Lonchura striata: one gene and its partner. The protein of the gene in region 1 purifies or fractionates together with the protein of each later gene. This does not show direct contact. Links are inferred from orthologs where the notes say so. Each region holds a gene or a part of one and is shown in the gene's direction. Other genes may lie near its edges.

Region 1 (3,747 bases):
TTCCTGATTTTCGCCTCTTTTTCCTGGTTTTTAGACTCTTCGCCTAATTTTTGGGCTCTTTTCCCAATTTTTGAACTCTTTTCCCCATTTTTTTTGGAAACATTTTTCCAATTTTTGAGTTCATTCTCCTGATTTTTGGGTTTATTTCCTGATTTTCGCCTCTTTTTCCTGGTTTTTAGACTCTTCGCCTAATTTTTGGGCTCTTTTCCCAATTTTTGAACTCTTTTCCCCATTTTTTTTGGAAACATTTTTCCAATTTTTGAGTTCATTCTCCTGATTTTTGAGTTTATTTCCTGATTTTCGCCTCTTTTTCCTGGTTTTTAGACTCTTCACCTAATTTTTGGGCTCTTTTCCCAATTTTTGAACTCTTTTCCCCATTTTTTTAGAAACATTTTCCCAATTTTTGACTTCATTCTCCTGATTTTTGGGTTTATTTCCTGATTTTCGCTCTTTTTCCTGATTTTTTGGGCTCTTTTCCCAATTTTTGGGTTCATTTCCGACTTTTTCCCTCATTTCCCGCATTTCTGGCCTCCCAACCCGTTTCTTTGTGCTTTTTTCCCACATTTTCACATCTTTTTCCCACTTTTCGCCATTCCCGAGCTCCCCGCTCCCATTTTCGCCCTTTCTTCCCCAATTTCTGGGCTCTTCCCCCTTTTTCCTCACTCCCTCCTCCATTTCCGCCTTCCCCCATCCCGATTCCGGGCTCCTTTTCCCGCTTTTTGGCTTTTTTCCCCGTTTTTTCCTTTTTTTTCCCCATTTTTCTGGGCTCTCGCCTGGCGCAGTTCCCGCGTCCGGTCCCTCATGGCGGCTGCGCATGCGCAGGAGCGACCAGAGCCGTCAATAGACATGAATGGGAGGTCCCTAATGGACACCGCGCATGCGCAGGAGCGACCAGAGCCGTCCATAGACATGAATGGGAGGTCCCTAATGGACACCGCGCATGCGCAGGAGCGACCAGAGCCGTCCATAGACATGAATGGGAGGACCCTAATGGACACCGCGCATGCGCAGGAGCGACCAGAGCCGTCCATAGACATGAATGGGAGGTCCCTAATGGAGACCGCGCATGCGCAGGAGCGACCAGAGCCGTCAATAGACATGAATGGGAGGTCACTCATAGCGGCCGCGCATGCGCAGGAGCGACCAGAGCCATCAATAGAGATGAATGGTAGATCCCTCACGGCGGCCGCGCATGCGCAGGAGCGACCAGAGCCTGCCCATAGAGATGAATGGGAAGCACCACAGAGACGAGCCGGAAGTTCCATGGAACCGTCGAGACCAACCGGAAGTCCGCCATGGAGAGAACCCGGAAGTTCCACAGAACCAACCGGAAATCCTTTAAACACCACGGCGATGACCCAAAATTCCTCCAAAGCCGCCCGGACGAGCGGGAAAAGTTCCCCAAAAATCCCCGGGCGCCGCGGAAATCCTCCGAGGCCGGAACCGCCGCGGGGAGGCCGGAAGTGCGTCCCGGAAGCGGCGCAGGGGGCGGGGCCGGGCGGCGCCGCTTCCCGGGCCCGGCGGGAGCGGCGGGAGGGGCGGCGGGGGCGGTAAGAGCGCGGGGGGGGGAGAGGGAAGAGCCGCGGGGTCGCCATGGCAACGGCCCCCGGGGGGGGGGACGGGAGGGACTGGGGGGAACTGGGATAAACTGGGACAAACTGGGAGGGATTGGGGGAGACTGGGATGGGATTGGGATAAACTGGGAGAGACTGGGATAAACTGGGAGAGACTGGGATGGGATTGGGGGAGACTGGGATGGTATTGGGGGGGACTGGGATAAACTGGGAGAGACTGGGGGAGACTGGGATGGGATTGGGATAAACTGGGAGGGACTGGGAAGGACTGGGAGGGAACTGGGATAAACTGGGAGAGACTGGGGGGGACTGGGATAAACTGGGATGGACTGGGGGGGAACTGGGAAGGACTGGGAGGGGACTGGGATGGACACGGAGGGACTGGGAGGGAACTGGGAGGGAACTGGAGGCAAACTGGGTGAACTGGGATGGACTGGGGGGGACTGGGATAAACTGGGATGGACATGGAGGGACTGGAATGGACATGGAGGAACTGGGAGGGACTGGGAGAACTGGGGAGGGTTTAGGGGGGTCCTGGAGTAACTGAGACAGACTGGGAGGGGACTGGGATGAACTGGGATGGACACGGAGGGACTGGGAGGGAACTGGGAGGGACTGGGAGGGAACTGGGATAAACTGGGAGGGAACTGGGGGGGACTGGGAGTGAACTGGGAGGGAAAGGGGAGGGACTGGGAGGGAACTGGGAGGGGCTGGGATAAACTGGGAGGGACTGGGAGGGAACTGGATGGGAACTGGGGTAACTGGGAAGGGAACTGGGAGAACTGGGAGGGGTTAAGGGGGGTCCTGGAGTAACTGGGACAGACTGGGAGGGGACTGAGATGAACTGGGATGAACTGGGATGGACATGGAGGGACTGGGAGGGAACTGGGATAGACTGGGAGGGAACTGGGAGGAACTGGAGGCAAACCGGGTGAACTGGGATGGACTGGGGTGGACTGGGTGGGACTGGGACAGAACTGGGCTTTACTGGGACGGGTTTAGGGGAGGTCCCGGCATAACTGGGAGGGAACCGGGATGAACTGGGACGAACTGGGGGAGGATCCCCGCCGATCCCAGACGATTTTTTTGGGGTGATTTTCGCTTTTTTCAGGTGACTCCTCCCCCTCCCCCAACCGATCCCACCCGCGCCGGCGCCATGGCCGAGCCGGGCCCCGCCCCTGACGGAACAGGCCACGCCCCCCATGTGCCAGACCACGCCCCCCATGTGCCAGGCCACGCCCACCATGGCCCAGGCCACGCCCACCATGGCACAGGCCACGCCCACCATGTGCCAGACCACGCCCACCATGTGCCAGACCACGCCCCCCATGGCACAGGCCACGCCCACCATGTGCCAGACCACGCCCACCATGTGCCAGACCACGCCCCCAATGTGCCAGACCACACCCACCATGGCCCAGGCCACGCCCCCCATGGCACATGCCACGCCCCCCATGGCACATGCCACGCCCCCCATGGCACAGACCACGCCCACCATGGTACAGGCCACGCCCCCCATGGCACAGACCACGCCCCCCATGGCCCAGACCACGCCCCCCATGGCACAGACCACGCCCCCCATGGCCCAGACCACGCCCCCCCGGGCGCAGACCACGCCCCCGAGGCGCCGGGGCCGCTGGCGCTGCTGAAGGCGCGGGCGCTCGACGTCACCTTCGACGTCGGCGACGACTACGAGGTCATCGAGACCATCGGCACCGGCGCCTACGGCGTGGTCAGCTCGGCCCGGCGGCGCGACACCGGTGAGAGGCCTGGGCCGCGCCCGAAATACACCTGGGGGCACCCAAAATACACCTGGGGGCACCCAAAATACACCTGGGGGCGCCTGGGGGCACCCAAAATACACCTGGGGGCACCCAAAATACACCTGGGGGCACTCAAAATGCACCTGGGGGCACCTAAAATACACCTGGGGGCACCCAAAATACACCTGGGGACACCCAAAATACACCTGGGGGCACCCAAAATACACCTGGGGGCACTCAAAATGCACCTGGGGGCACCTAAAATACACCTGGGGGCACCCAAAATACACCTGGGGACACCCAAAATACACCTGGGGGCACTCAAAATGCACCTGGGGGCACTCAAAATGCACCTGGGGACACCCAAAATACACCTGGGGGCACCCAAAATACACCTGGGCACACCTGGG
Region 2 (3,747 bases), on another chromosome or scaffold:
CCAATTCCAACCTCAGGACCCCCAATTCCACCCCCGGGACCCCCAATTTGAACGTCAGGCCCCGCAATTCCAACCCCGGGACCCCCAATTCCAACCCCCGGACCCCCAACTCCAACTGCAGGACCCCCAATTCCAACTGCAGGACCACCAATTCTATCCCCGGGACCCCCATTTCCACCTGCAGGACCCCCAATTCTACCCCCGGGACCCCCATTTCCAGCCCAACCCTCGACCCTCGAGCTGCCGTTCAGGACCCCCGGCCCCCATTTCCCAGCGCCCCCCCGCTCATCCCCAACCCCCGCGCCCCCCTCCCCAAGCCACGCCCCCTCTCCCCCAAGCCACGCCCCTTCTCCCCCAAGCCACGCCCCCTCTCCCCCAAGCCACGCCCCCCCGTCCCCACGCCCCCCATTCACCCCCTCGCCCCCCCAACTCCCACCCCCCGCGCCCCCCACGCCCACCCCCCGCTTTCCCCCGTCCCCCCACGCCCCCCACGCCCCCCGCCCCTCCTCGCAGGCCGCCAGGGCCGCCGCCAGCAGCTCCTCGCCCGCGCCGCTGCCCTGCAGCCACAGCAGCGCCAGCGCCAGCGCCGCCAGCGCCGCCCGGGCCGCCCTCCGCCGCCACCTGCGCCGCCTCGGGCCCATCCCGCAGCCCTCCCCGCGCTCCTCTCACCTCCGGCGGGCCCCAAAAACCCCCAAATCCGCCCCAAAATCCACCCCCGGGGGAGGGGGGGGGGGCGCGCTCGGGCGGCGGGCGGCGCGCGGGGAGGGGGCGTGGCCACGGCGGGATAATTAGCATAAACGGGGCGGTGGGCGGGGCTTAGAGGAGGGGGCGTGGTTTGGGGCTGCGGCGCATGCGCAGAGCGGAGGGGGCGTGGCTCGAGGCGTTGGGGCCGCGCGCGGAGCGGAGGGTGAAGAACGGGGGGGGGGCGAGGGGGGATTTTGGGGGGATTTTTGGGGATTTTGGGGATTTTTGGGGGTCCCGGGAGGGTCTTGGGGTCCCCCTGGGAATGCGGGGGGGTCCTGGAGGGGCCTTGGGGGGGTTTGGGTGGGGCAGGAGGAGATTTGAGGGGGGGCCGCGAGGGAATTTGGGGGTTCTGGGGGGAATTTTGGGGGTCCCGGAAGGATTTTTGGGGGTCTCGAGGGGATTTTGGGGGTCCCGAGTGGGTTTTCGGGGGTCCCGAGGGGAATCTGGGGATCCTGAAGGGGTTTGGGTGGTTACGAGGGGAATTTGGGGGTCCCCTGAGGATTTTGGGGGTCCCGAGAGGATTTTGGGGGTCTTGGGAGGGGTTTTGGGGGTCCTGAGGAGAATTTGGGGGTCCTGAATGAATTTTTGAGGGGTCCTGAGGGGATTTTGGGGGGTCCCAAAGGGATTTTGGGGATCCCGAGGGGATTTTGGGGGTCTCGAGTAGAATTTTGGGGAGTCCCGAGGGGATTTTGGGGATCCAGAGAGGAATTTTGGGGGTTCCCAAGGGATTTTGGGGGACCTCAGAGGATTTTGGGGGTCCCGAGCGGATTTTGGGGGGTCCCGAGGAGATTTTGGGGGGTCCCGAGGAGAATTTGGGGGCCTTGAGGGGATTTTGGGGGTCCTGAATGAATTTTGGGGGTCCCGAGGGGATTTTGGGGGGTCCCGAGGAGAATTTGGGGGCCTTGAGGGGATTTTGGGGGTCCTGAATGAATTTTGGGGGGTCCCGAGGGGATTTTGGGGGGTCTCGAGGAGAATTTGGGGGTCCTGAGGGAAATTTGGGGGTCCCCAGAGGAATTTGGGGGGTCTTAAGGGGATTTTGGGGGGGTCCCGAGGGGAATTTGGGGGTCTCGAGGGGAATTTGGGGTGTCCTGGGTGGGGTTTGGATTTTTGGGAATTTGGGATTTTTGGGGCTTTGGATTTTTTGGGGGCTCCTGGATTTTGTTTTTTTTGGGGGGGGTCTCTGAGGGGTCACGGGAGATTTTGGGGGTGCGGGGGGTGACCCCAAACCCCCCCCAGCCCCCCAAAATCGCCCCCAAATTCCCCCCCAGCCCCCCAAAATCGCCCCCATGGCGGAGCCGCTGCAGAAGAAGCTCCAGGCGGAGCTGGAGAAATACCAACAGCTGCAGAAAGGTGAGCCCAAAATCCCCCAAAATCACCCCAAAAATCTGCCCTGGGAGCCCCAAAATCACCCCAAAAATCACCCAAAATCACCCCCAAAATCTGCCAAAATCACCACAAAAAATCTGCCCTGGGAACCCCAAAATCACCCCAAAAATCACCCAAAATCACCACAAAAAATCTGCCCTGGGAGCCCCAAAATCACCCCAAAAATCACCCAAAATCACCCCAAAAATCTGCCCTGGGAACCCCAAAAATCACCCAAAATCACCCCCAAAATCTGCCAAAATCACCACAAAAAATCTGCCCTGGGAACCCCTAAAATCACCCCAAAAATCTGCCCTGGGAACCCCTAAAATCACCCCAAAAATCTGCCCTGGGAGCCCCAAAATTACCCCAAAAATCCCCCAAAATCACCCCAAAAATCTGCCCTGGGAACCCCAAAATCATCCCAAAAATCACCCAAAATCACCCCCAAAATCTGCCAAAATCACCCCAAAAATCTGCCCTGGGAACCCCTGAATTCACCCCAAAAAACCCCACAAAATTCTGCCCTGGGAACCCCAAAATCACCCCAAAAAATTCCTCCTGGGAGCCCCAAAATTATCCCAAAAATCTGCCCTGGGAACCCCCAAAGTCACCCCAAAAATCCCCCAAAATCCCCCCAAAAATCTGCCGTGGGAACCCCAAAATCACCCCAAAAAATTTCTCCTGGGAGCCCCAAAATCACCCCAAAAATCTGCCCTGGGAACCCCAAAATTCCCCCAAAAATCCCCCAAAATCACCCCAAAAATCTGCCATGGGAACCCCCAAAATCACCCCAAAAATCACCCAAAATCACCCCAAAAATCTGCCCTGGGAACCCCCAAAATCACCCCCAAAATCTGCCAAAATCACCCCAAAAAATCTGCCCTGGGAACCCCCAAAATCACCCCAAAAAATTCCTCCTGGGAGCCCCAAAATTACTCCAAAAATCTGCCCTGGGAACCCCAAAATTCCCCCAAAAATCCCCCAAAATCACCCCAAAAATCTGCCCTGGGAACCCCCAAAATCACCCCAAAAATCCTCCTGGGAACCCCCAAAATCACCCCAAAAATCACCCAAAATCACCCCCAAAATCTGCCAAAATCACCACAAAAAATCTGCCCTGGGAACCCCAAAAATCACCCCAAAAAATTCCTCCTGGGAGCCCCAAAATCACCCAAAAAATCCTCCTGGGAACCCCAAAAATCTGCCCTGGGAACCCCAAAAATGCCCCCAAAAATCCCCCCAAAAATCTGCCCTGGGAACCCCAAAAATACCCCCAAAAATCTGCCCTGGGAACCCCAAAAATCCCCCCAAAAATCCCCCAAAATCACCCCAAAAATCTGCCCTGGGAACCCCAAAATCACCCCAAAAATCACCCCAAAAATCTGCCCTGGGAACCCCCAAAGTCACCCCAAAAATCCCCCAAAATCACCCAACAAATCTGCCCTGGGAACCCCAAAAATCCCCCCAAAAATTCCCAAAAATCACCCCAAAAATCTGCCCTGGGAACCCCAAAAATCCCCCCAAAAATCCCCCCAAAAATCACCCCAAAAATCTGCCCTGGGAACCCCAAAAAAACCCCCAAAAATCACCCCAAAAATCCCCCCTGGGATCCTCCAAAATCCCCCCAAAATTTTG

What was found. The genes of interacting proteins can lie anywhere in the genome.
Region 2: the proteins of MAPK7 (region 1) and PFDN6 purify together in Homo sapiens (affinity purification with mass spectrometry; 3 studies listed by BioGRID and IntAct, with this or other methods). This does not show direct contact. The link is inferred for Lonchura striata from reciprocal best matches to the Homo sapiens genes MAPK7 and PFDN6.

What each region holds. Positions count from the first base shown.
Region 1 is NC_134637.1:104,254-108,000, forward strand, and holds the start of MAPK7 (mitogen-activated protein kinase 7), read left to right. Parts: upstream 1-1,308; 5' UTR 1,309-1,463; intron 1,464-2,685; 5' UTR 2,686-2,730; coding exon 2,731-3,334; intron 3,335-3,747. UniProt on the Homo sapiens protein: Plays a role in various cellular processes such as proliferation, differentiation and cell survival. The upstream activator of MAPK7 is the MAPK kinase MAP2K5.
Region 2 is NC_134631.1:621,927-625,673, forward strand, and holds the start of PFDN6 (prefoldin subunit 6), read left to right. Parts: upstream 1-810; 5' UTR 811-850; coding exon 851-907; intron 908-2,012; coding exon 2,013-2,094; intron 2,095-3,747. UniProt on the Homo sapiens protein: Binds specifically to cytosolic chaperonin (c-CPN) and transfers target proteins to it. Binds to nascent polypeptide chain and promotes folding in an environment in which there are many competing pathways for nonnative proteins.